Linked DNA regions of Oryzias latipes. The protein of the gene in region 3 purifies or fractionates together with the protein of the main gene of each other region. This does not show direct contact. Links are inferred from orthologs where the notes say so. Each region holds a gene or a part of one and is shown on either strand. Other genes may lie near its edges.

Region 1 (7,364 bases), on a different chromosome or scaffold from region 3:
CTGAAGACCACCATCTCCATGCCCGTCTTCATCGCCCACGAACAGGCTCCACCCAAACCGCCCCGCCTGCACCTGGACGACTCCTCCCCCACATCGTTGCCTCCCCAGCAGGAATCCTTGTGCGGGAACGGCACGGCGCCGGATCCCTGCCGTGACGTATCGGTGTCGCACGCCATCCGCAGACTCGTCCCGTCCTCTGGGTCCTTCTCGGAGGCCTCCTCCGAGGACTCCATGTCGGAGAGCGGCGGGCCCCCGGACGTCCGGCGGGGCCTCAGTCTGGACTCCGACGCCGGCCTGAGCAACGAGGACCTGCGGAGCGAGCGCAGCGAGTCGCCCAGCGCCGCCTTCCATCCCGCCGGACTCACGGCCTCCAACCACGTCTCCAGATCCAACTCCATCTCCGGGTTAGACCTGGATCTGGGCCCGTCCATCCTGGAGGACGTCCTCAGCATCATGGAGCGCTACAAGAGTCTGGAGAACCGCTGCGAGCTGTGAGGTTCCTCCAGAACATCCCCATCATCAGAACACTCCCTCCCCTCTGTTTGGACTCTCCTCTGCCTGAGAACCTCCTGCTAATCTCCAGACTGATGGCTTTCCTCAGACAATTCTGCTGCAGGTCTCTTCCACGAAAGCCTTCAGAGAAACGATGAAGGTTCTGTTGGGTTTGTTCTTCGGTTCCATCACGACACTCGGATCCTCAAGCAGCAGCAGCACCTTTTTGTTTTGGTTGTTTTTGGAAAAAAAAACCTCAGGACATTTTATTCAGACTGATGATGAAGAAGCTTTACTTGTGAGAAACTTGCTGCTTTTAGACTCAAATACGGAACTTTTTTTTAGAAAAAAAAAGAGAAAATTCTGTGTTTAAATATCCATGTTCCCAACATTGAAATGCTGTAAATATATCTCTGTAAATCTTTGAATTAAAGGATTCTGATGAAAACAACACGGTGTGACGAGTTTCACGCATAACAAAACATTAAGAACAAAAAAAAAATAACAGCAGCATCAGAATCAACAACAGCAGTAAAATGTTCATGCAGTGAAAATCTAAATATAGTCTGTGACTTTATTTTGAAATCCTGCAATAGGACCAGTCAGCCTAATTGAGGTGAGTTTCAGCTATTTTTCCAACTAAAACCAATCGGTGCACATTTTATGGACAAAGGATGTCATAAACATGTGGAAGTTGAGCACAAATCTTCATGACTTTGTTAAATGTTCATTTAAATTCTTGGAAAATAATAGAAAAGGTGTCAGTAGTTGCTCTGTAAATCGCTTTTATTAGATTAACAGAATCACACTTTATTTTATTTACATTTTGGTTTTTGCAACAAAATGGGATTAATATAAGAAATGGACTTTAATGCTGATGAAATACCGCCCTCTGATGGCCGTAGTGTAAAGCTGCAGTTTTGAAATAAAAAGCAGTGAAATAAACACATTAGGGCCCGAGCAGAGGGATTGCAAGGACTCTATGGTTTTTAAAATGTTTATTATTATTCCGAGTAAAGACTCGCCTATTTGAGGCTTAAAAAACTAACCAATTTTTGCACACGTCTCAGAAGTTGCGAAAATGTATTAGAATAAATGAATGTATTACGTGGTAGACCGGCACGGGTGCATAAAAATGGCTCGATAGATTTATCTCAAATGCACACAGACAGGCGCACACAAGACTTGCATAACCAAAATTGTTGAACAGGGGTGTAAAAACAGCACCCATCCCCACATTAGTGTAAAAATATTCATCAGAGTTAAAAACTGATGCCTAACTTTGAATTCTGAATTCAATGGCGTGCTTATTTTTTTCATTTAAGGAAAGATGACAAAAAAAGAGAAACTTCTTTTTCAATTTAAAAACAGAACATTAGAACCAAATAATCTCCTGTAATCATCTTCGTATTTTAGATTTTTAACACAATTTTTCGACTTATATTTGTCGATTAAAATACAAGACTAATATTTGAAAAAGAATGAAATTCTGAAATTAAAAGAAAAAATCAAAACATTGAGGGGTCTGACGTCACATTTTCTAACGCTGGTTGAAGTTTGAGCAGGAGCTGAACATTGTTGCCCTCTGCTGGGGAAAATGCACATTACAGGCAAAGAGACTTTTTTTCGTATGTTTCACAGAGGGGCTTTATTTAGTATGGAAGCATTTCTGTTGCATAATTCAAAAATAAAAGCATTTCTGGTTTTGACTTTTGTTTTTGAATTGTGCAACAGAAATGCTTCCATAAAAGAATGCCTTTTGCATGTGACTCTTCTTAATGTTCCTGCAGTTCTTCTTCCTGCCTGCAGGTGGTAGAGCGTTTAGAAACGCCGGCAACAACAACAACAGTAGAAGAAGAAGAAGTCGTTAACATTTTGGTGTTCTCTGTGTAGTTATCCTAAATCTGTTCACTTTAAAAGGACCAATCTGTCGTAAATCAAAGACGAAAGTTTTTGGAAAGTTTCTCTTTAGAAGATGAAGTGAGTTCTTTTGTTACTGTGACGTAAACAAAAAGTCTAAACCAGCACGTGTTGATGCTAATGCTAATGTTTGGTTTGTGTTGACAGAGCTAGCAAAGAAAAGTTTTTCGTCTGTTAAAGTGTTTGCGTGTGTCTGCATTGGGCTGTTTTATTCAGTCTGTTTGCTGTTTGGTCGCAGGTTGAACATAGAAGGTCTGCTGGTGTATTTTCCGTATGATTACATCTATCCGGAGCAGTACTCCTACATGCTGGAGCTGAAGAGGACCCTGGACGCAAAGGTGGGCTTCTTTCACTCGGGTGTTAGATGGGTTTCTGGGAAATGTAGTGCGGTAATTTCATAAACCAGGAAAACTCACTGGAGACGGTGAAGTGACTGTGTTGTGTCTGCGTTTCAGGGTCATGGAGTACTGGAGATGCCTTCAGGAACAGGGAAGACCATCTCCCTGCTGTCCCTCATTGTGGCCTATCAGAAGGTGAGTCCAGCTCTGCACCTTCTGAGCCTTCATGGCGACAGCTGCTCTAAGCTTTATTTGATTCTCAGGCGTTCCCGCTGGATGTGACCAAGTTAATCTACTGCTCCAGGACAGTTCCTGAGATCGAGAAGGTGAGTCTGACCCCTCCGCAGCCAACGACGAGCAAATCTCCAGGAGCTTTTCAAGTCCTCCGCTCATCTAGGTCGTGGAGGAGCTGAGGAAGCTGATGGAGTTTTACGCTAAAGAAACCGGAGAAGTCAACAACTTCCTGGCTCTGGCGCTGTCTTCCAGGAAAAATCTCTGCATCCATCCTGAGGTAAAAACCCTGAAAGCTGAGGGTTTCCGTGCTTTCTGGAAATGTTGATCAAACAGGAAGCTCCCTCGTCCATCAGGTGAGCTCTCTGCGCTTTGGGAAGGAGGTAGACGGGAAGTGCCACAGCCTGACGGCGTCCTACATCCGGGCTCAGCGCCACAGCAACCCCGACCAGCCTGTCTGCCGCTTCTACGAGGTAGAAAATCGCCTCAGCTTACGGGAAATCGGACCGCATGAACGTCAACGTGGCTGAAGCTCTGCGAATGTTGGGTTTGTGTCTCAGGAGTTTGACGCCGTCGGTCGGCAGGTTCCCCTTCCTGCCGGCATCTACAACCTGGACGACCTGAAGGACTTTGGCAGACGAAAAGGCTGGTGTCCTTATTACCTGGCTCGGTATTCGGTATGTAACCAAGCAGAGGCGCTCAGCACGTGCCTGACCTTTAACCCTTTCAGGGACTGAATGGATCTGGAGAATGTTTTCCTTTGTGTCCATTTAACCAATTCCAATTAAAATCCAGATCAAAGCAGCCCAACTGCGCAGCTGCAGCTGCAGCTGCAGTCAGGTTGCTCAGACACCTGTCAGTCCGTTTCTGTAAAGGACTGGAGGATTTTTCATCAACGACTGTTAATCTGTTCGATCTAAGTCCAAACTTTGACGTGGTCGTCACAGAAACTTGATGTTTGATCCATTCAGCAAACCTCATGCTGCCGCAGAGCTCTGGAGCTTCAGATGGACTTTCTTCTTCGAGATTTTCCCTGAAGAAGTTAAAATTTATGAAGTAGTCGGTGAAGATGAAAAGCTGCCCCTGACCATCACACAACCACCCCCATGCTTGACTTCTCTTCTGATGTCCTTAGTTTGACCACAGCTTCCAAGAAACGTCATGACAAAGAGTCATGACCTCTGACCTGAACCAAGTCATGTGACCTTCTCTCTGCCTTCTGCTTCTATATGGCTGTGTTCTTGAGAAAGTTAAAAACGTCACTATTTACCAAAGAAAATAATCCAAACTCATGTTTAGTTTGTGATTTTTAATGACTGTTGGCATTAACTTCATGTTTTTTTTTTCTATTTAAAATCTCATTTTTCTGTCCTAAGATTCTTCACGCCAACATTGTGGTGTACAGCTACCACTACCTCCTAGACCCAAAGATCGCAGATCTGGTGTCCAAAGAGCTCGCCAAGAAATCGGTGGTCGTGTTCGATGAAGCTCATAACATCGGTAAACCGTCTCTCTTTAGTTTGTTTCATTTTTCTTTTCTTCCCCTTCATCTTTTTTTGTCCGCTTCGTTCCTCAGACAACGTTTGCATCGACTCCATGAGCGTGAACATCACCAGGAGGACTCTGGACCGCTGTCAGAGCAACGTGGAAACACTTCAGCACACCATCCAGAAGTGAGACGCAGCCCAGTCTGCTTTTATCCACACCAGGACGAAAAACATCTGGAGTTTTCTGCGTTAAAACCCCCAAAAATTTGAGCTGTAAAACCCTAATGGCACCAGGAATTGTGGGTAATGGAGTTTCTGTTTGTCATTAACCATAAATCAGACTCATCCATATTAAAAAAAAAAAAAAGCTCAATTATGAAAGGAAATCAAATTCAAATGTTGATTCTGAAAACATCAGAGCTTGGAGTCAAAACTGTTTTTTTTCTTATTTCTATAAACATCTTTGGGTGGAAAAATAAGACGCTTCTGTTTGATCCAAACTGAATTAAAGAGAAAAATCCTGAAGTTTCCTGCCTCTAGGTTCAAGGATTTTTTCTTCATCCTGGAAGTGTCGGTTAATCAGCTGGTCCTCCATATGGAGAAATAAAAGCAAATAGGCGTGTTTTTATTACCATAATCTGAGAATTTCTGTTAAATAATTTCAGGAATCGGTCATGTGTGCTTCATTCCAGCTCCTCTCATCCGATTCGTTCTCATCTGCAGGATCAAGGACACGGATGCCGCCAAGCTGAGGGAGGAGTACCGGCGGCTGGTGGAAGGGCTGAAGGAGGCCAACGTTGCCAGGGAGACGGACGTCTACCTGGCAAATCCGGTTTTACCTGATGAAATCCTGCAAGGTTGGAGCTCGGTCTGGCCGTGGGGTTCTGGTTTCAGAACTCAGACTAACGCTTCTCCCCGCCAGAGGCCGTCCCCGGCTCCATTCGCACCGCCGAGCACTTCCTGGGCTTCCTGCGGCGATTCCTGGAGTACCTGAAGTCCCGCCTGCGGGTCCATCATGTGGTTCAGGAGAGCGCTCCCCAGTTCCTTAAAGACATCTTCGAGAAGGTCTGCATCGACCGCAAACCTCTCAGGTCAGTCGGCTTCAGGTCACACGGGGGAGGGGCCGCAGTTTTCTCAGGAAACACGGATTTTCTGTTTCACCATTTAGAGCGTCGGTATCATTCAAAACCAACTTTTAGGTGTATTTTAATGTTCATTCCTCACAATAAACAGTATGTTGGTCCGTTTACGCATTTCTGAGCATTCCTCTAAAAACCTGCAGCTCCTCCCAACCAACGAAAACGGGCGGGTCTTCGCATTGTGACATCACAAAGTGAGGACCAGCCCCTTCCAGGAAGAGTCTGCAGTGCCAGCCCCGCCCCCAGGCTAACACACACGCCCACTTTCTCCGTGGAGCTAGCGGTGATCGTCTAAACGCTTTCCTTTTTTATGAACATATGCACGTCCATCTTTGCAAAAGTTCTGCCGAGGCGTCTCGGATGACATCATCACATAGGCGGCGCCCACAAAGAGCCGACCTTTTTGTATAAAGTGTTGCATGTCAGCACAAGACTTCTGTTCACCGCACCAGAATCCGCTGGAATTACGATCATTGCGTAAACGGTTGAAGAGTTAAGGTAGTCAAAGAAATGTAAAGATTGGAGCTAACGCTCAGCTGTGAAAAGGTTTAAAAAAAACCTGCATGCGTTTCTGCTGCTGCTGTTTGTGAGAATCGATTTGTGGAAACGTTCTGGAGCTCAATCTGTCTGTCCTGTCCATCTAATATCGGCCGTGTCTCACAGCCGCTGTGGACGTTTTCGTGGTTCATACGTGATGGGAGTTTCTCGTGTTCCTCATTTGTCGACGCGCGCAGACGTCAGTCAAGGATTTCAGCCGATGGATTTTTACCAGAGTTTGGTTTTGAGCTGGATGAGAATTACACAGTTTCTACGTATCTTAAATTATTACATAAATCTTACACAACTGTGCGTGATTTTTGCGAGATTCACAGATTTGTTGCTTTCCGCGACCGTTCCACGTATGTCTAACGGACTTTTCAGTATATATATATATATATATCAGGTATACGGCGCACAAATCTCATTAAAATAGCGTAATTGACCCACAATTCACTAACGAATTGCATCTAAACAGCTCAATAATCACACGGTTCATGCTCTACGTTGATTAGCGTGGTTCATTCCTGATACATCTGTGCAAATGTCACCTAAAGACTCAAACTTCTCTCACTTTTTCCACACATATGACCAATTTTCATCTGTGCAATATGCACAAAATGTATGTAGTTGCTGTGTGACAGACTTTTTAATCCTGTCTATACAGAAATCCAAAGCAGCAGAAGAACCGACTCGTCTCATCCTGTGATGATGTTTTTCTCGCCCTCAGAATCTTGAAGTTATTCTTTCGTGTTTATTTTCCACAAACGGACATCAGACCGTTCTGTGAAAACCTCTAGGGAGCTCCGTTTCTCCTCCTTCACCACTCACCTTTATTTATTTCTTTCCTTCGCCTGCTCAGGTTTTGCGCAGAAAGGCTTCAGTCGCTGCTGCGAACTCTGGAGATCGCAGACATCGCAGACTTCTCCGCCGTCACCCTCATCTCCAACTTTGCGACTCTCGTCAGCACCTACAGCTTAGGTTCTGCTCGCCTCAGATCCCCGCAGGAAGCCGGAGGTCCGGATGGGCTTTTCACCGCAGACTGTGCTCTGTCTTCCTCTCCCTGAAGGTTTCACCATCATCATCGAGCCGTTCGACGACAGAACTCCCACCATCGCCAACCCCGTCCTCCACTTCAGGTAGAAATGCTTCGTTTTTCTGCACGTTTCCCTCTGGACTCCCGGCTGTTTACGTTTTTATAGAATATAGATGCTATATAG
Region 2 (7,376 bases), on a different chromosome or scaffold from region 3:
CCACGCTGCAGCGTCCTCAATATCGGCCAGGTCGGAGGTCTCCACAACCCACACCGGCGTTGGGATGCAGGGCCCCCCCCAGCGCCGAGTCCCGTACTTGAAAACGATGGCCTGCTTCTTTCGCTCCAACGCGTGCAGGTTTCGCTCATCGATGTGCGCGGTGAAACTTTTCAACTGTGAGGTTTTGTCAGAGCAGGAGGAGGAGGAGGAGGGGAGTTCCCCTAACCCGGTAGACAGCTTCTTCAGGGTGAGATCGGTGATCTTCTCGCATCCCGACAAATCCAGGTGCTCCAGAGAACGACAAGCTCCCAGGAATGACCAGCTGGAGAAAAATGAGAACAAAGCTCAGTGTTCTGAGTTCCACGCAGACACAGATCCACATACATGTACGGTATATTTCTAATATCTATCTAATGACATAGTATTGTGAACTATTAGTACATATCGTTGAAAATTCAAAAACTACATCTTCATGAAGAGATAGCTTTGTTGTGTGTAATATTATTTGTGTAGTAATACATAATAATACGGGAACCACGGAGCCGGCAGCAGCTGCAGGGGCAGGACAGCCTAGTCAGACGGTCTCGCTCGCCATCGAAGAGGCACGCGGGGCGACCCGGGCCTCAACTAACACTCCTGTGGGCGAGAGTGGTCCTCTGCCGGGGACTTGACGCGCCGTGGGGCAGAAACAATGTTCTCAGTGTATTTAAACACACGTGTGGAGTGATGCATGTATCAGAGGGTGTTCTATTGGCCTTTCTGCATGTCAATCAAGTCATATACTTCTTGGAGAGGATTTTGATTCGCTAATTTAATTATATACATTTAAATTTGGGGGATTTTTTTATCTATGATGGCGCGTGATCTACCCACATGTCCTTTATCGCAATCGATGTAATGATGACCCCTGAAGAAGTGGTCCGACTGACTGTGATGTCATCCGTAGAAAATGATTTATTTCCAGCTCCAACCAAATGAAGTCAATTCTGTCGCCATTCAATCCACAGAACCAGATTCTAATTTAAAGGAAGTATTTTGTACCTGTCAAACACAGAGTCTGTCACATCAGTTTGAGTCAGATCCAGATGAGTGATGTTGGGGCAGAGGCTGACCATCTGACGGACCTGGAAAAGACATTTAAGCTTTCAGGCTCAGCTTAACATCCATCAAATCTCATGGCAGCAATGCAACTCTGACTGGACAAGCGCCGCATACCATTTTGCTTGAGACTGTTGAACTGTAGGCCAGAATAATGGATTTGACTGACGGACCCACAGCAGGGAGGAGGTTCTGGATGATCCCATTCAGGAGCTTCTTCTCTCTCTGCACCATATTGATAGCAAGCGAGCCCTCTGTGTGACCCGAAACATCTGACGAGAAGAACACTATCTAGTCACTACCTCATGAACACAATAAACTACCACACACTGCAGGTCCATCCACCTTCAACATTGGAACTTTTTTTTCCCCACTCAAACCCGGGGAAAAAACAATAGTCATGATGAAACTATTCACAGCACACACACATGACCCTGGTAACGTTCAGCTCATGCATGTTTGAAGTGATTATTGGCCCTCACCTGACTCGTCAATATCAGCGTCCTCGTCCCACTTCTGATAAGCTCGACCCTCATTCTCTCGACTCCTCACCCACTCTTCATCTGGCTCCTGATCCAGATCCCCAGGAGGGCCATTATAATGATCGCCTGTGTTTTAAAAAAAACTTTAGAAACAAGGATGCCTAAGCATCTACAAGATCATCTTTACCAGGAAAAACAACTACTTGGTTCAAAAAGAAAAGATGAAAACCATGAATTGAGGTTTACCTCGGGCCCAGCGAACAGGGTAAAGGTGCCTCCACAAAGAGCCGGTCTTGGCCAGCTGCCACCACAAACTGCACACCTGACTGCAGCGACACAGATCCTTAGGGCCCAAATAATGGAACAACCTCAGCATTATTTCTGCAGGAAGGTGTGAGATGTTGGTTGACATATTCTGCTTCTTCTCCAGGTCTGAGGATGGAGGGGGGAAAAAAAGAAGAGCATGTGAATGTTTTAAATACCACAATGATAAAATTATCTCAAAATAATCCATGTTCTGTACAAATATTGTTGGTATTTTACAGCAAAAAAAAAAAGGCTTCAAGTATCCTGCTAATTGTGTTTCCTATCACAGACGAACACAACTCCATCCATTCATTCATTTTCTATGTCTGCTTAATCCTGTCATAGGTCACAGGGATGCTGGAGCCTGTCCAGCTATGGTTGGGCTCCACTCTGGACAGTTTATCAGTTCATTAGAGGGCTGAACACAACTAACCCCAAATAAAGCCTTAACTAGTCTCATATTTTGGTAACGGGTCATAATATCTATCTGTTGCTGTTCATTTAAAAAAAAAACTGTTTCTCTGCTGGATTACATAAAAAGCCTTTTTAAAACATGACTGAAGATAAGACAAAAAAAGAAGTGTGTGGCCTTCAACAGACGCTTGACTCATCTTTGTCATGCACTTAACTGGAAACCTGTAACAAGTTTAGTCATTTGGACAAACACTCACCGTAGTCTGTCTTCTCATGATCCGAATATTTAAAGGCTTTCTGCAGCTCCTCAGCCTGCGACCACAGACGGAATCCCTTCAGCACACCGGCAGCACAGTCCCCGTGCTGTTGGCTGTGGTGCTGGGCTATCACCTTTTTCTTGATGTCTTTCAGCTCCTCGTAGGTGAAGTACTCCATGAGCATCGGCTGAAACACCTGCAACACATTTCCGTTAAAACACAGCTTGACGCTGAAAAGGATGAACAGGTGACATTTTTGATTATTGCTTATCCCGCATGATTATCTTGTACCTCCTCCTCTTCCTTCATGTGGGGCAGGAAGTCCTGCGTGAACGCCTCAAGTCTCTCCTTCAGCTGACGAGCATAGTTAAGCTGCTCACATTCATTCTAAAACCACAGAACAGACAGAAATCCCAGATCTTAGATCAGCTGCTCTTGGACAGTCATAAGCAGACGTTTACCACGCTTTAGGTATTTTGCATGATTCTAAAAGTTGCGCAAGGAAAATTTAACTTCTTTGTTTTCCTCGTCTGAGCTGGCTTCCGGCTCACGACTGTACAGCCGGTCAGCTCCAATATTGTAAAGAAAAAACCTGCATAACTATAGTTAAAAGACCACCGGGAACACTTTCAAAATAGACCAAGGATAATCGGGCTGGGTCTCTAATAGAATTTGAACTGTTAGTTTATAACCATCCTAGAGCCCTCAGGTGCAGGTCTGCTGGTGATCCCCAGGGTCAGAACAAAAAGCCATGGCAAGCCCACATTTTCAGCACTGTGGGCCTCACCAGTGAAGCAGCCTGCCTACTGATGCAAGGGCTGCATCCTCTGTGGAGGTTTTTAAGATAAACCTTAAGTAATCTTTTCAGCTTAGCTTTTAAGTTTTACAAGTAAGTTTTACATTTCCACATGTTTTAATACAGATTCATGGACTGTATCTCTGCTGGTTTCTGTATCCTGCGAATGTGTGTTGGGGGCTTTTATTATTATTATCGCACTATTTTTACAATTATTTTTATTGTTTTATTTTTTCTTTGAGGTGTACTGCAACAAGAAAAGTTTAATTGGAATTTATTCTCCCCAATGGTTTGCCACAGGAGCTAGACTTTTAGATGATCAGAGATTGTGAATACGAGTCAAATCTTCCCACACTCAATGTTTTGTGCTTTTTTTTTAAACAGATATTTCAACAATTTACAAATAAGTCTCTGCTGCAAATTAATATCTGTAGAAACTTTCAGACAGGAAGCAGGATCTCACTCCAAACTAAATAAAGAGATATTAGAGAGTTTGGCAGAGCGGATGTTCCAATTTACACAAATTCACGAATCCAAGAAAGCAGCTGAGATTGGAGTTTGCTGGAGGCTTGAGCCAAAACAATAACTTTTTATCTACTGTTCTTCAAAGGCTAAAGTTCGTGTCTGTTCAATAAATTATAATTATCCCAACAAAATGACAGCTCTGATGTTGCTCTAGTATCTTGTTAGTGGTTAGCCTGACAGTTACTCTAATAACAGATTACTACACACTGTGGATCAGCGGGTGCATGCATGCATTTGCTGAAGGGGTTATTTAGTTGCATCGAGTGCATGAAAGAAATGTAGGTTTTTGGCATATTTACCTTGACATTGTGCAGCCCCTTTTCAAACAGGGACAGCATCTCTGACAGTTTGTCATCAGAGTGCACGTTATAAACTGTGCAGCAACGTTGTTGCAGCTGGCCAATGATGTACTCATTCTCAATCTGCTCGTGCATCTTGAACTCCTTGAAGGTCGCGCACAGAGACTTGAGGAAGGAGCGGAAATCATTGTTGTTGGAGAAGTTAGTTTTTGACAGCTGTGGAAGAAAAAACAACAGACTCGAATGAAATAATAAAAACTGTGGAGCCCAAACTTTTTCACATGATTTTACCACAAGGGAGGAGGAACACACTGATGTAGCCACACCAGCTAACGTAAGCGCAGCCGACATCACATAAAGAAGATTATATATATATATCATTGGATGCGAGATAATACAGGCACTAACGCTTAAGGGTGAAAATATGTGTGTCCGATAATTAAAGCATGTGAGGCCGCCCCGTAACAACACGTTGCACAACAAATCCTGCTGCGATTCCGGCTAACAAAACAACTGATAGAAGATCTGCTGGAAATCACTTTGAAACCCGTAAGGATCCAGGATGAACTTATCTAAGTGTAAGCACCACGTAACAATAAACAGAATCGAGGCAGACGTGACACAATCGTGCGACGGGTCACGTAACACAAAGCTAGCAAACAAGCTAGCAGCCGTTCCCTCCTAATTTGACCACAAACCATCAAAATACCCCGTAAAACACTTCTTTTGTTGTTGTTTTTTGTTTTCTAAACGCACCTTCTCGCAGTACAGTCCCACTAGCTGCTTCATCCGCCAGTGTGGGCCGGTAAAAACATCCACCTCTTCTGGAAAGGGAGCCATCTTCACCGGACTGCGTCATCTGCAGCGCCTAGACTCGGTTCGGGGGCGGGCCTGGTGTTGGTCACGTGACCACGAGTCTGCGCAGTATCAGATCTCACACAAACAGCTGTAGATTATTTACGTTTTGAATGTGGGGAAAAAAACAGCGTATACGTGTACGCAAGATGTTGTTTTTAAAGTAATGCTGTGTAGAGATTAATGATGACATTTAAATTTGTTTACTACATTAAATAACGTTCTTTGTATTTAAATTCATATTTTATATTTCGTTAAATTCGTTATTTTTATTATACGTTTACACATGACATATTTAAATTTGTCAGTAGTACATGTGAAATCTAAATTTGTTTTTTTTGTTTATTTCGTTTTCTTTCTAACATACAGGCTAAATAAATATATTTCCATTTGTGTTTTAATAAAGATCATAGTAAAATTGAATTTATGTTGCAGTGCACACCTGTGCTGTTGTGTATCCAGTCAGTATGTCAGAAAAGGTATATTTAATAAATCTCATTTTGATCTGGGATATTAACTGAAAAGCTGAAATTGTTTTGTTGAAAGGTGTTCACTTTATAATTTACACAGGCTGGTCTCATCAGGTCATCTTGCGAAACAAATTAACAAATCCCACTTGAAATGTTCTGTTTTATTAATAGCGTAAAATTTGCTGTCCTGCCACATGATAAATGCTATTTTTTTCCTCATCAAGGTTAAAAAAAAGGCTAAATTACCCCGTGGGATAATATTAAAGTGTCTTTTTAGTTCCCAAGGGAAAAATCCTGTGGCTGTACAGTTAGTATCGCTTTTGTTTTTGTTATTGGCAGGAAGAGAAAAGGCTGCAGACTGTTAAACAGCATAATCAATTATTTCACCATGAATCTGACCCTGCACCACTGTAATTAAATGCTCTTTACAGCTGCATTAACTTGTTTCATATTTTGTTGTGTTTTTTTTAGCAAGCCACTCTTTTAGTACCAGAGGTGTTTATTATAAGGAACACCTTTTTATGACATCGCCTAAGCAGAATTTGTTTTTAGTAAATCCCTGATGAGCTTTACTGTGACAAGGTTTTGAATTTTGATGCCTCACATTTTACGTGCAAAACTAATCTTTTTTTCTCGCATGTAAGATACAAGTGTGTCTTAGAGACAAACAAAATAAATAAACCTTAAATCATTAAATAACCTGTGTAAAGGATTACCGTCTTGTACTTATGACTAAACTATGAAAATAAAAATAAAAAGCAGAGGCATATTTCACAGCCCCATAACTCTGTAAAACTGCAGAATTAATCTTTTTATGAGTGGCTGACTAAAGGTTAATACATATTCAGAAAATGTGGAAACAAAAAAATAAAAATGTAATTTTTACAGTTAGGTTTTGTGAATGCAGAAAGTCCCCTCAGTCATCAAACTAAGGCTATTATCTGGCGATTTATAAAATCTTTAATATGTACATTTATTACACGTATTTACACATATGGCACAAAAAAGTAAGGGTTTTTAAAATGTATTTTAACAAAAAGGAAATAATTAAATAATAATGGACAAACTCTGCAGTGTATAAAAGAACAACTTTTGTCTTCTAAAGGAAGATTGTCAACTTCAACAAATGACTGGTCCTTTTCTTTCAAAGACACTTCAAGCAGCACAAGCCTTCACGTCAAAGGAAAGGTCACTTTAGGAAGAGAGAAACCAGCTTCAAGAGCGCCTCCCTGGAAAATAAATCAGAGACTGGTCAACTTCAATCTGCTGATAGCAAACATACATGTTTAATATGAACACATGATGACAGGAAAGACTAACCTCACACATGGAATGTATGACAGACTGTACCTGAAGACAGAAAAACACATTTGAAGTCACAGGGGAGCACAATCTTCCAGCTTTGGAATTTTTTTTAAGGTTGGACTCACCAGGCAAACGACAAGACCTGCAATATGCAAAATAGCAAAGCAAGTCCGAAGTTCTTCCACTGAAAGAAAAAGGAAGAAACTCTATAAAAGGCAGACATCAAATCCTTAAGCGCACAAACTTTAATTATTATTATGAGGAAGAAGGCATTATAACTGCTGCGACGAAGATCACTCACCCAGAACGCTGCACAAAGAGTCAAAACAAGGCACGTCTGAAAAGATATTAAACCAAATTAGCAACAAAGAAATCTGGTCCTCATAAAAAGCATTACGTATGTTAAAAATCTATATTTTCTTTCATTCTAAATGTGTTTCAATAGCTTCCTTCCAAAAGTGGAGGTCCAGCATCCACCATGATCCCAAAGTACTATTTGAAGCATCTACAGATTCAACAGGTGGATCTGTTTTACCAAATGGATCAAGTGCCTGTTTGGAAAATACACA
Region 3 (7,284 bases):
CCAAACTTTGCTTTTGAATGATTTAACAAAACCCCTTCTAAAACAAACAGAACCGGGCCTGAATTATTTTATTTATTTATTTTTTTACTTGTCCTGTCCAACAGCTAGGCAGGCAGATGAGAGCTGAGGGCCTCTTGTGTTGGACATATTTTACTTTAACAAGAGGGGTTATTAATCTTCAGATAAACCAAAGGTATGTCTGAATAAACCCCTTTTGTAATTGAGGCCAAACTTTATTAATTTCAATCATGTTTGAAAATCTTTGGTGTTGGACCGGACGGAAAAGGAAAGAGGTGAAGAAGAGAGAGGGACGTTAGAGAGGGGGGGGGGGGGGGGTAGGAGGGTGATAATAGGAGGGGAAGGGGGGTAAGACCATGAAGCAGCATAGAGCAACAAGTTTACTGGTTGTTAATCATTATGGTAAGGTTCAAATGTAGTACAAAAAGGGCGGGGCCTGTCCACACACAGTCAAATGTTATAAACACACCTGCTAGCTGCAAAAATGTCCACCTGTCGACATGTACACAAAACAGATAGTGTTCACACGCATACTTATGCCTTAAAACCAACTAGTGTGAAATATTTCAGTCATTCAATCGTGCAAACTATTAGCCCAAAGGTGAGCTAACACCTGTGCTCAGGTGAGTGTTTATGTTCTGCTAAAATGGATGGTGGAACGTGACAAGAAGGAGGGAGAGTGCCCAGCCATCCCCACCCCAAGACCCCCACCGCAGCAGCAGCGGCAGCCGAAATCCCCCCAACGCCACACGGGAACCGGCAGGGAACAACCGCCGCCCGGGCGACCAAGCCCGCCACCCAGGCCAGGGCCAGCAGGACCGCCGCAAGGCCCCCAGAGCCAGAGAGCAGGGAGGCACGGAGGGAAAGAGAGAGAGCGCCGCCCCAGCCCAACCAGGAGAGCAGCCCCCCCCGCCGCGCCGGGAGCGCCCAACGCAGGGCCCCACCGGAGAAGGACGCCCACAGCCCCAGACGAGCACCCCACCACCACCCAGGAGTTCCGGGCATCCCCCCGCCCCTACCCCAGGTACGAGCCAGGACCCCCCAAGGCAGACCCGCTCCGCACTCCAGGCAGCCATCCGCCCGGCCCACGGTTGGTCCAGGGAGGAGCAAGGCAGGGGCCCGCCGCCCCCGCCCAGGAGGGGGGAACCCCGGGGAAAAAAGGGCGGCCCACAAGGGGTGTTATAAATATGGCCCGACCAGGCTCGGCCATGTTGGAAGTTTGGCGGGGCCCAGCGCTCAGGGGCAAGGACCAGGACCCACCCCCCAGGGACACGAACACCCCCGGCTCAGGTGTAATATGAACCCCCCCACCGTGCGGAGAGAGCACCGCCGGGCCCAGGGAGCCAGCACCCAAGGGACACGGCCGCCATCGCCAAGGGGCCCGCACCCCCCACCAGGGAAGGGGCAGGGGACAGATGGACCCAGGTCCCACCTTCCTTGCAAAATGTGTGTATGTGTGTTTGAAAGGGTGTGTGTGTGCATGTGTGTGTGTTTATGTTGGAATGTATATATTGAAGGGGGAGGGGTGTGTGTACTAAGGGGGGTGCAGTTAAAATTGGCGAGAAGGGCACTAAGGGGATCTCCTAATCATCATCTCCTGATTACTCACAGTGATGTCCCCTCACCCTCCCCACCAAGGGGCCCTAAATGTCTAAGGTGCGGTTAAAATTGGCGGGTAGGGTGCCAGGAGGACATCTGCTGCTTGCTGGCAGTGATGTCCAAGCACCCCCCCTACCAAGGACCCTACATGTCTAAGGTGCAAATAAAACCGAAAGAGGGGGGGCCCACTCCGTACGGCAACCATAGGAGGGGGGCCACTGCCAAGTAGCCCCCCCCCCAAGGCGCATCGCAGGCTAGACCCCCCACCCCCTCACCCTAATATGAGGTTATATGAGGAAGGGGGTAAGTTGGGGACAGCTGGTAGACTGTCCCCCAGTGGTCAAACAGCTGTCCCCCAGCCCCCCCCCCAGCAAAGGGGCCAGGGCCACCCAGCCCAGGTGCCCCACCCCCGGAGGCGCCGACACCCCAGGCCCAGCACCACCCACCCCACAGAGAGAGAGAGGAGCCAGAAAGCGTCACCCCCCCCCCGGAGCAAGCCCAGGCCCCCACCCCCAAACGCCGGCCCTAGAAGAGCCCTGGTCAGGCCTCGACGGGACCGAGGCAGCCAACCGGCCGGGGAAACCGCCGATGGCCTCAGCGGAGACCCCGACCCGTCAACCCCCCCCGGGCCTGAATTAAACTTATGGCTCCATGAGAAAAAGACTCGAAATAGTTGGAGTAAAGAAAAAAAAAGATTCTGCAAGTTGTGCCACCTAAAGAGATGAGTTTAGACTGTATTGTTCATCAACTGAGAGAGACAGAATCTACAAAACAAAGAGGGAAAAATAAATTCACAATATGATTTTTAAACAATGTATTTGTATAATGAAATGTGTTCCACTTGTTACCTGTATTAACTGGTGATCTGTATAAAAAAATACCTGTCCACACCCTTAAACAGTCAGACTGAGACCTCTCCATTATGGATAAGACCAAAGAGCTGTCAAAGGACACCAGAGACACAATTGTAGACTTGGAAGAAAAACTGGAATGAACCAATCTACAATAAAGAAGCAGTTGATTGTAGAGTAAATAAACGCCACTCGCTGTGTTTGAGGGTGAAAGAATGCTGGGTTGAGTCCCAAGCATACCATACCCACTGTGAAGCATGAGGGTGAAACCATAAAGAGGACAGGGGGACTGATCCATATGAAGGAAAGGATGAAGTCAAGTGAGAACGTGAGCGAAAACCTCCTGCTATGAGTGAAAACGCCAAGGATGATACATGGATGGCTCTGAGGATCCCAAACACATCACCCAGGAAACCAGCAGATAAAAAGCTTTTGAAGGTTTTGGAGGGATCTAGCCCGTCTCTGGACCTCAGTCCAACAGAGAATCTGTGTTTTCCAGCTACAGCTCCACATCATCACATCAGCTCTCGAGAAGATCTGCATGGAGGAATGGGCCAAAATAGCAGCGAAAGTTTGTTCAAATCTCATGAAAATCTAAAATGTTTGACTTCTGTCATTCAAAACCAGTTATGAAGTATTGGAACAAACTTTAATTATTGACTAAATGCCTATTTTCTGGATCATTAAACAAATAAATTATTTAAAAATCAAACTGTGTGATTTCCTGCCTTTTTTTACATTCTGTCTCTCACAGTTTAATTGTAGCTATAATAGACCTCATCTTTTATAGTATGACAATTTAAAGAATCCCCCCTCCTTACGCTACAACAAAACAACTGTTTCTCACTGTTTTTGCTGACAATTTGAAGAATTTAACTGTTTAAAAAACCCACATTGACGAAAATGGTGTTTTTAACACATTATTGTGGCTTTTTTCTCATGATGGAGGACATATATAGAGAAAATTAAGCTCAATTGCACGTTTCTGAATAATTCTATACTGTTTGGAAAAGATCGTATTTGTGATGTGGAAAATACGCGGGCCATGCCACAGTCCTCCTGCTCTGCTCCATTCTGATGCACCTGCAGGTCTGCGGGGGGGGGGGGGGGGGGGGGGGGGGGGGGTCAGGCTCAAGTCCCGGCTGGGTTTTCCTCCAGGAAGTCCAGCTTCCTCCCACCGTCTAAAAACATGCTTCATAGGTTTATTGGTCACTCGAAATTGTCCCTAGGTGAGAATGTTAGTGTGTGTGATTGTGGCCCTGAGACAGACTGGCGACCTGTCCAGGGCGTCCTTTGCCGTCACGGGATAGGCTCCAGCAGTGACCCCGTAAGGGACAAAACAGGTTTGTTTGTATGTCTTTGTTTTCCTCGTCTGAGCTGGACTCTGGATCTAAACTGTTCGACTAGAGAGCTTCATTATTACTCACCAGGTTTGTTGTGAGTGGTTGTAAGCTAGGGGAGAGCATGTAAACAGATGGATGACGGGGAGTGGAGGGGGGCTTTTTCCATGCCAACAGTCACATTTCTAATGAACTCCTGCTGCCGCTCTGAAGAAACTACGTCCCACAAAACGACACAGGTTTTCTGATTTTGTTTAAGAACAGTATAATCATTACTAAAAACCCACTGGGGACGTTTCAAAACAGACCAGAGGATGATCGGAGTGGGACTTTAAATGTTTTCAAGCTCCAAACCGCCCTTTTTATCAGATTTGTGGAATATATATGCCAAACTTTGTCAAATTGTGTAATCTTAAAATAAGAAAAAGAGATCCTGAGATTTCGTACAAATACCAGGGATTGTAACTAAAACGAATATTGTATTAAGTTGGTGCTTTTAAATTAAAAAGGATATCAAATATTTCCCGGTCGTCGATGGGATCATGGACGTCTTCGTCCTCGTCGGCCGCCGTCAGCTGCCTTTCCCCGGACCGCTGGAAGATGACGGGGTTAGCGTTCTCCAGCTGAGACCCTCCGGACATTTTTCACTATGTTCGTCAATCAGCACTAAACATTCAACTGCCCATGTATGCAGGCGGAGTCGTGTTGCTTTATTATGTCGACCTTCTCACAGAGCACTTCCGGGTATGACGGATAGCAGCAGCGGACAAAAAGCCTGCGAGGAAAATTAAAGTAACAAATGCTGAATGATTTTGTCCTAAGACCATCAGCAAACCCACTATTATTAGTTTAACGAATACAATTAATAACTTTGTTATTATTATTGCCTGAACTAAACCAATAAAAACGAATTTCGCAATGAGTTATCATAACTGCAATAGTACAGAATATCAGCTGAATACAATAACAAAATTAACTATGCTTTTGTTATCGGTCTAATTTCTACCAGTAGACAGACTTTTCATCATTAAAGCAGTGACAGTAATTGAGAATTATACAGTCAATGCATTAAAGGGAAACTTAAACCTGAAATGTAGATGCTATATACCGCCACCTGCTGGATGGGAGGGGATCAGACAGTCATAACTGGATCAAAGACGGAGGAGAAACTAAACTGTTAAAGTTCAACAGAGGCAAAGCCAGCCACTCTTTTCATTCACTCGTCATCCATCCCTCCATCTGTCATTAGTGTCCAATATTTATATATTGAATATATCCACTTTATTTATATAGCACTTTTTGAAATCCAGATTACAATATGCTGTACAATTAACATAAGACAGAATCCTGATTAAAAACAGTACCGGACGTAAAAATAAAACCCAGCACGAAACAGTGATAGCGTTAAAAATCAATAAAATCATAAGTTTAAATTTAAGAACCAGTGAAATCATTAAACGCACGCATATAGAGGTGGGTTTTTAAAAGAGATTTAAAACTGGTAGGTACTCAGTGAGCCTGATCCCTTGAGGGAGACTGTTCCAGAGTTTTGGGGCTCTTATAGCAAAGGCTCTGTCTCCCATGGTCTTCAATCTGCATTGTGGGATTGTTAAAAGGCCTTTTGCTGAAGATCTAAGATTGCGTCCAGGTACATAAGGAACAAGCAGAACAACCAGATACTTAGGGGCCGGACAGCAGAGGGCTTTAAAAACAATCATTAAAATCTTAAAATCTATTCTAAAATGGACTGTGAGCCAGTGCAGAGACGCTGAAACTGGAGTGATATGATCTCTCATTCTGGTTCCAGTTAGGAGTCTGGAGTTGATACACACTCTGCTGTGAAAGGCATGTGTAGAGTGCGTTACAATAGTCCAAGTGGGAACAAATTAAAGCGTGAATTACCATCTCGAGACATTTTTTTGATAGGAGAGGGGTTATGCTCTCCTATCTATTTTTTTACATAATATTTTAAGTAATTCATCTTTGTCATGTGCTTTATTGATACTTCAGGATTCTTAATTTATTACATGAGAAATCATATAATAAAATGGTTACGGTAGAACAGGGGTGGGATTATATAAATTCGCTTCCTTCCACTTTCAAGCAATAATTAATTTTATGTCTAATTATCCCAAGTTTGATACGTCATTGTGATTGCTTGAAATATATGGAGTGATATTTCTGCCACCAAGTTGCACACAAAACTTTCTATGTTGCACACAAAACTTTTTAAGTTGCACACAAAACTTTCCATGATGCAGGTGAAAATTTTGTTTTGCTTTCAAACTTTTTTTTGCTTTCGAAAACGTATTTTTTGCTTTCGAAAACGTTTTTTGCGTTTGCAAAACACATGTTTTTGCGTGCGTTGTGTCAAATCTCGCTTTTGTCTTATCTTTGATTTTACTGCCCACTTTGAGCGCGACTTAGCGTGATATGACTGCCACTGGTATGGAGTTATTTCAGTCTCAATAATCAGAAATGCACACAACCGGTTTTACAAATACACACGCTCCGATTCACAAATGTCATTTTATGCAAACGTGAAAAATAAATTCGGAAATACACACCCTGTGTTTCACAAACACACACATTGTGTTTCACAAATGCACACTAAATGTTTTACAAATGCACAATAAGTGTTTCTCACAAATGTGCACACTGTTTTTCACAAAAACATTTTAGAAATTCACAATAAATGTATCAGAAATGCACAGTAAGTGCTTCACAAACGTGATTTTTAGTTACACATGTGGTGTGAACTCACAGATCATGCTGCACACGTGTTTGGGATCAGATGAACAGCAATAATAGGCAAAAGAATTATGGCTCACCATAGTAGACTCAACGTATATAACAGAAGAGGCATTTTTAACTTTTATTATCATTTTGACAGTGTCTTCTGTTTTAGAACTTGTCCAAAGTTAAAAAATATTGGTCATAAAAAATGCTATTTTCTCTTAATATTTCAACAATTAGTGACTAAAATAAAACAATAGTTCAGATACAAATCTTAAAAAGTGTTGCTTCCCTGCTGGACGGAGTCGGAGCTCTGATATGTTTTTTTCTGCTGCAGACATTTTTAACACGTTGGTCGCTACACTGACATAAATAAATACAAAACTCTGCTCCTTCTGGGTTTTATTCTGAAAGAAACGGGTCAGAATGGTTGAAAACGGCAGAACCCTGTACGAACAGAACCGACACAAAGTCCAAAGTCCATGTCTGCCTCAGAGTACCGTCAATATGAGATAGAGACACTTGATTGGTTAGAATCTGGACCAATCAGCAGGCTGTTCGATGGCAGCTTTGTCACGTCAAACCGAAACTTAACTCAGCAAAGATAGAAAAAAAGTGAGATGACACACAACGCATGCAAATTTCTTTTTGGCGATGCCAGTGGCAGTCATATCACGCTAAGTCCCGCTCAAACTGGGCAGTAAAATCAAAGATAGGACAAAAGCGAGATTTGACACAAC
Region 4 (7,245 bases), on a different chromosome or scaffold from region 3:
TATTATTCAGCCGTTTATGTGGCGTCTTTGAGAAATAACTGATTTTTTTATTTACTTCACAAATACGATCTTCTTTATAGAGATTAATATCATCCAGCCTGATGTCTGTAAATCTAAAAGCTTTATTTAAAACATTTGGGACACCGTTGGAGAAAAAGCCTGTTTTAAGTGCAACAGCGCCCTCTTGTGTTGAATATGGACATCTACAGTGATGTGCAATTCTGCAGTTTTATTTTTCTGTGACTCCGTTAAAACTGTGCTTTTTTGTTGCTGTCTGGACTCAGGACAACAGGTGTGTGACAGTACAAAGCGCCAGAACATAAAACATCCTCTTACCAGTCATCTTGTAGCCGCTGGCAGCTAGCTGTCCCGCCATGTATTCTCCGTCTGAATTGTTGTGACTGCAGCCCCAAGTTTTCATCCAGATTTTCTGCATGCCAGGAATTACACTGAAACAGAGGCAAACAGGGATCTTCATCTAATCTTTGCTCTCCTTAAACACTAATGTCCTCTCGAATTCAGTTTTCTCTTTACTGCATCGTTGCAGAGCGGTCGATAGGAAAAGGGCTTGAGAATCTAAAAGATTTCTTTCTGGCTTTTAACAAAAACTTAAACCCAACAAACACTGAAAGCTGATGAGAAGCTGCACCGCTGCAGTGTCCTTTCCAGAGGCTTAGTGATGGGAAAGTCATACAGACAAACTGCATTCAATTTGATAAATCACTCACTTTTGTAGAACTGATTTTCGTAGATGTTCTGAAATTACTGAAAGGCCTACTGGTGATCAATTAAATCTGTAAAATGAGTCCATTAATACTAGGAAAATAAAATAATAAGATATGTGTTATTAAAAAAATTACAGCTGGAAAACAATTCATAAATCCATACATGAACGACAAGAATGCCCAAGTCAATATTTTTAGAAGCACGTTTTCTAGAAATACCGACTTTAGTCTCACAAGAAGACAAATAGTTTTTCATTGGAGATCACTGAATGTTCAAGGGAATGCCTAATTTAAAAGTTGATTCCAGACGACAGCATTAGCACCATTTCCGCCTGAGTTTGAGCATGACTAAATGATATGAGTGTGATGCCTGTCGCTATAGAGGATCTTTGTGGTGTGGGAGGCACGTCCACATCAGCTAAGATACCTGGGGGGTATTCCAGGAAGCATGTTTGAACTACCCTGACTTTAACCCTGAACTCTGGCTGAAATCCGCCTGAACTTGCTTACTCTGGGTGTGTCAGTTCCAAAAGACCAGATATGAGTTGGCGTAATTACGCTCGACTTGGTAACCCTGGGTTAATGCGGGTGCACGTCAAGTACATAAAAACCTTCTCAATGGAACGCCAATTTCTGGAGTCACCATGGAAACGCGTGGTGAAAAAAAGAGAGCGCTATATTTCAGTGAGACTGAGTCTGAGATTAATGACGGCTATGAAGATTATACGTCCATCAAAAAAGTAAAACGGCTGCATCCGAAGAAGAAAGAGTTTTGCTTGTAGTAGAAGAACAGACAAAGTAAACGCACGAGTTTCTGATCTTATTTCCATTTTCCTTGTGAAGCATATATTTAAAACGTATCCAATTTTGCCAACTTAAATGAATTACTTGGTACTATTGGTAACAAGTAATTGAGTTAAATTTATTCAACCTACTTTCTTAGGTCTATAAAACTTAATTAGTGTTTATTCAACTCAAATTTACAGATTTATTTAACTAAATGTCATATTACTCCAATTCAATTATTATTGTTTCCACCTTAAGGAATAATAATTCTTGAACTCTCAAATGTCTAAGTTTGAGCCGGCAGATATGCTCATTTTTATAACAATAAAAAGAACAGAACGATACACATTTGGAGAGTAAATCCATTTAAGAATTCATCGACATTGTCATTACATCATTTGGCTGTAGGGGTGCTATATAAACTCATCATCCTCTCCCTCCCTCTTACTCATGGTGCAGAGACTTGAGCAAAGTGGGACAAAGTAACTCGGCAAAACACAGTAAAACAGCTAAACAACTAAACACATTTGGTCAAAAACCCACACTTAAACCCAAATCCGTCCAGAGAGGCAAAGGGAATGGTATCCCACAATCCCTTGCGGTGCCGATCTAACAGCAGCACCAAAGTTACACCTACTTAATTGAATTAATTTGAATGAAAGTAAAATAACTGTCTGAAAACAAATTGTTATTTTTAAACTGACTTAACAAAAAAATGATTTTTAATTATCTTAACTGAAGCAAATAATTAAGTTAGATCAACATAGTTTATTTTTCCAACATCCATATGTGGTCTTATCACCCTCTCACAGTGGAAAAAGTATTATCTGAGCTTCTTCATCAAATCAAATCAAATCAAATCAACCTTTATTTATATAGCACTTTTTCAACAACATATGTCACTCAAAGTGCTGTGCATAAAAAACAATAAAATTTGAAAACAAGATGACAAGACAAACCGTGCGACAACCCCCACCCCGCAAAAACACACACACACACACACCCACACACATCAAAAAATAAATAAATAAATAAAAAAGTGATAAAATGATAGAATGTAGAGACCAAGCTTTGTCCTGAAGTGGGGAAACGATATTTTGGGGACATGTCCACATCAGCGACCCCCCAACCCAAGTTCACGGAGAACACTACCACAGAACCCCCCAGATCCGATCAAAAGAGTCAGACCCAGGAGATCCCACTGCAGCAGTTCACTGAGAAGGGTCAGTCACCGATGTGGAGGATCCCTCAGAGGGAAACACTGGAGTGTAATAAAATGTAAAAGGAATAAAATTTAAGTATATATAAAACATGGACAAAAAACAAATAATTACATAAACCTTAATAGGCATATGAAATAGTAAGAGCAACTTAAAAATTAATAGAATACATAAATAAATGTATTTACATACACATATAAAACTAGTTAAAAGAAAAAAATAAATAAAAAATAAATAAATAAATCCTAAAATTTAACTAAAAGCTAAATTAAAAAGGTAGGTCTTAAGCCTTCCTTTAAAAACATGAACTGTCTCTGCAGCCCTGAGGCTCTCTGGGAGGCTGTTCCACAGGCGAGGTCCGTAAAAACTGAATGAGGCCTCGCCGTACGTTTTTGTTCTAACTTTTGGGATAACCAAAAGGCCTGTATCAGAGGACCTCAGGGTCCGCGAGGGCTCATACTTTAAAATCATGTCAGATAAATATGAAGGCCCGAGACCATAAAAACATTTGTAAACCAATAAAAGAACTTTAAAATCAATTCTGAATTGCACAGGGAGCCAATGCAGCGATCTTAAAACCGGTGCAATGTGTCCCCGCCCCCCGGTCCTCGTCAGAACGCGTGCTGCTGAATTTGGCAGCAGTTGAAGATTTGCTATTCTTGTTCTGGGAAGACCAGAGAGCAGAGCATTACAATAATCTAATCTGCTGGTAATAAAAGCATGCATTAGCACCTCTGTGCTGGCAAGAGAGAGAAATGGGCGGACTCTGGCTATATTTTTTAGATGATAAAATCCTGTTTTTGTGATATTTTTAATTTGTGGGATAAAATTCATCGCAGAGGCAAAAATGACACCCAGGTTTCTCACACACTGAGAAGTTTTGTAATTCTTTAGTTTAGATAAAACTATCTCTCTCTTGTCCTTAGAACCGATCACTAAAACCTCTGTTTTGTCCTGGTTTAGCTGTAGGAAGTTCTCTGCCATCCATGACTCAATGTCTAAAATGCATTTTAAGAGTGTGTTGACCGACTCTTCATCATCATCCACTAAATCATCTTCAAATGGACACGCCAAGCTTCTTCACCTCTCTGAAAACCAACTAACCTTCAACTAAACCTGCTCCAGACCAGGTTATGTTCAGAGCATGAGTTGCCATGGCAACTTGACATACCCTGAAACATACCTCCATTTCAGACATGGCCGTTCACGAACACTAAAGTCTAGAGACAAACACCACAGGGCCCATGTTTAACATAAACGTACGCACTATTTTTAATGAATACTTGAAGTCCTTCAGTCTACATGTACAATCTTTAGAAACTGTCAGTTTCAAACTCAGATCAGATGAAGTCAGATGAAGCATATTCTGGCGTACCTGTCAGCTTGGAGCTCTTCGTCGTTTAGAAGCTCTTTCTTCTTCTTGGGCCTTGGTATGATGTTCTTTCTCGCAGACTGTCTTTCATGGGGGGTGGGGTCCGTGGAAGACACCATGTCCTCAATATCTTCAATCACGGGGTCGCAGGCGGAAGGCATGATGATCTGAAAGATCACAGTTCGACTCTATAAAGAACGACTCAGAATCCACAGAGATAACTTAGCTCTGTTAAAAGCAATCATTCAAAGAATTTTATCTGAAATTAGCACGTGCATTTATGATTAAGAGTAATTATATTTGAATGATTTACATCTACATGTACAAGTATGAATATACATTTTCTAATCAGTTCATGAACAACCATCCTAAGTTAGATATGCCTATGTGAAGATATATACACATACATTTCTGTGGTCTATCTTCTTAATTCTATTTTTGTTTTGGTTGCTTAAAGTAACCGATTCCAAATATAAAACATATAACAAATATTTAGAATACACAAGAAACACAAAACAATTCTTTAGTCATCCCGTCAACGTAGTCTAAATTAACTTACTATAAGCCAAACTGAAAAAGACAACAGGTAAACACGATTTGGCTCTAAAAAAAAAATTAAAAAAAACTATTCCAACCTTCTTATGTGATATTTGTGCAAGTCAGTAACGGCACTACCCTTGCTTGAGTAACTTAGAATGCAATTCCTGTGTCAAAACACGGATAACTGTAGTACAATTTTATAGGACAACCGTTAGCATTAGCCAGCTTGCCCACGTGCCTTACCAGTTGTAAAACACAAGAGTTGTATCTACTATTTGTGTAAATTACCTGAATCGTAATGTGGTTATATTGTCCAATGAATCCAATCTTCGGGTCAAATATGCGCCCAATTGATAAACTGCTGTTGTTTACACCACAGGACAGTTGTCACAACTTCTCCTGCGCCATTCTCGGAAATAGACGGAAAGACGGGAGGGACAAAAATTTAGCGTTCAAATGCTGAGCGCGATTTAATGACTTCAAATTAATACTGCTACAAGAAATAAACAAAACAATTTGTAGTTTATATTTCCTTTATTCATTTTTTTTAATAACAAATACCCATAGTACAAAAACAAATCTTTTCAATCGCACACATACAAAACTTAAATTTCTCATTTAACTGATATCAAAATTGTAACTAATCGACAATTACTTGAAATTTCAGCTTTTTCATTCATGCATCGTGACTGTAAAGTTTCTGAATTTGGTTGAACAAGGCAGCAATATTGAAATGTTACTGAAAAGTTGATTTCCTATGGAATAGTAGAGTTTAACACGAGTTTTTGTTTTCCTTTTTTTTTCTTGGTGTCCATCAATGCCACTTCAGTTTGAATTACACTTTATTAGATTTAGTCTAATACTAAGTTTATGCAAGTTCTAAAGACCCAAATATAAACTTTTTATTCTATAGCCACCTAAATGTTCAGCAGCACAGCAGACCAGCTGTCACCGACACCAAAATCCATCACAAGGCCACACAGAGACCAACTACCGCACGCACTCACAACTCAAGACTACACAATCAACCTAATCATACACACGCTTGTGGACTGCAAGAAGAAGCCAGAGTACCCAGGAAATGCATGCAAACTCCACAACAAAAGCCTGGGAGTCTTCTTTCACTGCCACAAAGCTCCTGGCAACAGTCATACCATAGGAAAAACAAGCAGAAACACCAACTCACTCATGATATAAAACCCTAGCTTTAGTGGTGTATTAAAATCTTTAACATTCCATTGGAAATCTGTGAAAAAACTACAATCGCTCCAAAAATTCCCATGTCCACCACAAAAATATTTCAATAAGATTCTGGTAGCTTGAAATAAATGGCAGAAAGTTCTATCTACACAAGTGGTAAAGCGTGGCACTAAAGTCCAAGAACCAGATGTGTGTGTGTGTGGGGGGGGGGGGGGGGGATGCATCTTAAACCTAAAAACACACACGGTTTGTGGAAAAAAATAAAAAAATAAAATGTCCATAGAAGAGGACACTTTTGTGCATTCAAATTAGTTTGACTAGTTTTCGCTCCATCGAGAAGTTGGGATGCTTTTGATGACAGTATTAGATTTTTCTTTAAAAATAATAAGTTTTAGGGTGTTTGTAAGAACATTTCTAGAGTAAAAAAGAAAAAGAAAAATACCTTTGCACACAAATAAGATGAAATTTCTTAGGAATTACATTATATTTTTTGCCATCCTTCCGAAAAGAACAAATATATAGATCACAGTGCGACAAGGGGCTTACATGTGGTTTCTTACACCTGAGTGTAAATTCTAAACTCACAGGAAGCAGAATTTATGAAAAAGTGGGGGCTTGAGAGCGTCTCTCATAATGGCATTGCCCTGTACACACTAACTGCTGCTCAACATTTAGTGAGAGGTAGCCTATAGTACCATGTGCGTTGGAAAACAAGAGAAATAGAAAACTGTACATCAACTTGCAGGCTAGCCAACTCTTCTGCAAGCTGGAGCTGTTATAACTTAATTACCCTGCACACACACACACACTCACACACACAACAGCTCAAGCCAAAAGCAATTGGGTAAAAGTCAACACTAGCAGCAGAAAGATTACCTGTCTGACGTGTTTCTCTAGGGAACCACCATGAAATGATTCCCCGTGTTTAAATTGAGTCTCTTTTAGCGGCGATCCTTCGTTTTTAGCTGACCATAAAGCTAGCTTAACATTCTACAATGCATTTACTTTCAACCAAAACACAAAACAAAAACAGGGACAGATATTAAACAGGACAGCCTTTCACCCAACTTCATCATCACGTTACAGAAAGTGTCACCATGGCAACAGGCCTCAACATTTTAGTCCTGAATGACAGAAGTAAGAGATGTTCATACATCCTCATCATCATCAGGGGGGAGGGGGCTTTTTCTAGTGTAAACTAAGCAAAATTTCTCCATCATTGCACAAAAGTTTTGAAGGTTCTTTTAGGACAAATTGACTAGAAATGGCAATCTCTGTGGTTAAAGAGCGTCGACTATCGATGCTTCATTAAAAATAAAAAAAAAGAGTTTAGAGCACAATACTATAACGCTCTATTGTGGGATCCTTTTTGCAGACAGAAACCTCTGCTCTCCACACATAA

The links. Proteins that work in one complex are often made in the same cells at the same time.
Region 1: the proteins of fam96b (region 3) and ercc2 purify together in Homo sapiens (affinity purification with western blotting; 3 studies listed by BioGRID and IntAct, with this or other methods). This does not show direct contact. The link is inferred for Oryzias latipes from reciprocal best matches to the Homo sapiens genes CIAO2B and ERCC2.
Region 2: the proteins of fam96b (region 3) and fbxl5 purify together in Homo sapiens (affinity purification with mass spectrometry; 3 studies listed by BioGRID and IntAct, counting the BioPlex papers as one, with this or other methods). This does not show direct contact. The link is inferred for Oryzias latipes from reciprocal best matches to the Homo sapiens genes CIAO2B and FBXL5.
Region 4: the proteins of fam96b (region 3) and cdkal1 purify together in Homo sapiens (affinity purification with mass spectrometry; 3 studies listed by BioGRID and IntAct, with this or other methods). This does not show direct contact. The link is inferred for Oryzias latipes from reciprocal best matches to the Homo sapiens genes CIAO2B and CDKAL1.

The regions. Positions count from the first base shown.
Region 1 is NC_019871.2:4,133,575-4,140,938, forward strand, and holds the start of ercc2 (general transcription and DNA repair factor IIH helicase subunit XPD), read left to right. Parts: upstream 1-2,296; 5' UTR 2,297-2,467; coding exon 2,468-2,472; intron 2,473-2,650; coding exon 2,651-2,750; intron 2,751-2,867; coding exon 2,868-2,945; intron 2,946-3,013; coding exon 3,014-3,076; intron 3,077-3,147; coding exon 3,148-3,261; intron 3,262-3,337; coding exon 3,338-3,454; intron 3,455-3,541; coding exon 3,542-3,658; intron 3,659-4,357; coding exon 4,358-4,481; intron 4,482-4,557; coding exon 4,558-4,654; intron 4,655-5,191; coding exon 5,192-5,325; intron 5,326-5,390; coding exon 5,391-5,559; intron 5,560-7,006; coding exon 7,007-7,125; intron 7,126-7,213; coding exon 7,214-7,283; intron 7,284-7,364. Other genes in the region: cdc42 effector protein 2, read left to right, coding at 1-495. UniProt on the Homo sapiens protein: ATP-dependent 5'-3' DNA helicase. Component of the general transcription and DNA repair factor IIH (TFIIH) core complex, not absolutely essential for minimal transcription in vitro.
Region 2 is NC_019862.2:28,338,833-28,346,208, reverse strand, and holds the start of fbxl5 (F-box/LRR-repeat protein 5), read right to left. Parts: upstream 5,069-7,376; 5' UTR 5,018-5,068; coding exon 4,934-5,017; intron 4,394-4,933; coding exon 4,178-4,393; intron 2,945-4,177; coding exon 2,849-2,944; intron 2,754-2,848; coding exon 2,558-2,753; intron 2,013-2,557; coding exon 1,827-2,012; intron 1,707-1,826; coding exon 1,581-1,706; intron 1,371-1,580; coding exon 1,216-1,370; intron 1,125-1,215; coding exon 1,042-1,124; intron 323-1,041; coding exon 1-322. Other genes in the region: vesicle transport protein SFT2B-like, read right to left, coding at 6,692-6,731, 6,823-6,852, 6,933-6,991, 7,109-7,144.
Region 3 is NC_019873.2:4,895,204-4,902,487, reverse strand, and holds the start of fam96b (mitotic spindle-associated MMXD complex subunit MIP18), read right to left. Parts: upstream 4,567-7,284; 5' UTR 4,450-4,566; coding exon 4,323-4,449; intron 1-4,322.
Region 4 is NC_019874.2:11,054,400-11,061,644, reverse strand, and holds the start of cdkal1 (threonylcarbamoyladenosine tRNA methylthiotransferase), read right to left. Parts: upstream 5,069-7,245; 5' UTR 4,932-5,068; intron 4,763-4,931; exon of another isoform or gene 4,739-4,762; intron 4,271-4,738; 5' UTR 4,107-4,270; intron 450-4,106; 5' UTR 337-449; intron 1-336. UniProt on the Homo sapiens protein: Catalyzes the methylthiolation of N6-threonylcarbamoyladenosine (t(6)A), leading to the formation of 2-methylthio-N6-threonylcarbamoyladenosine (ms(2)t(6)A) at position 37 in tRNAs that read codons beginning with adenine.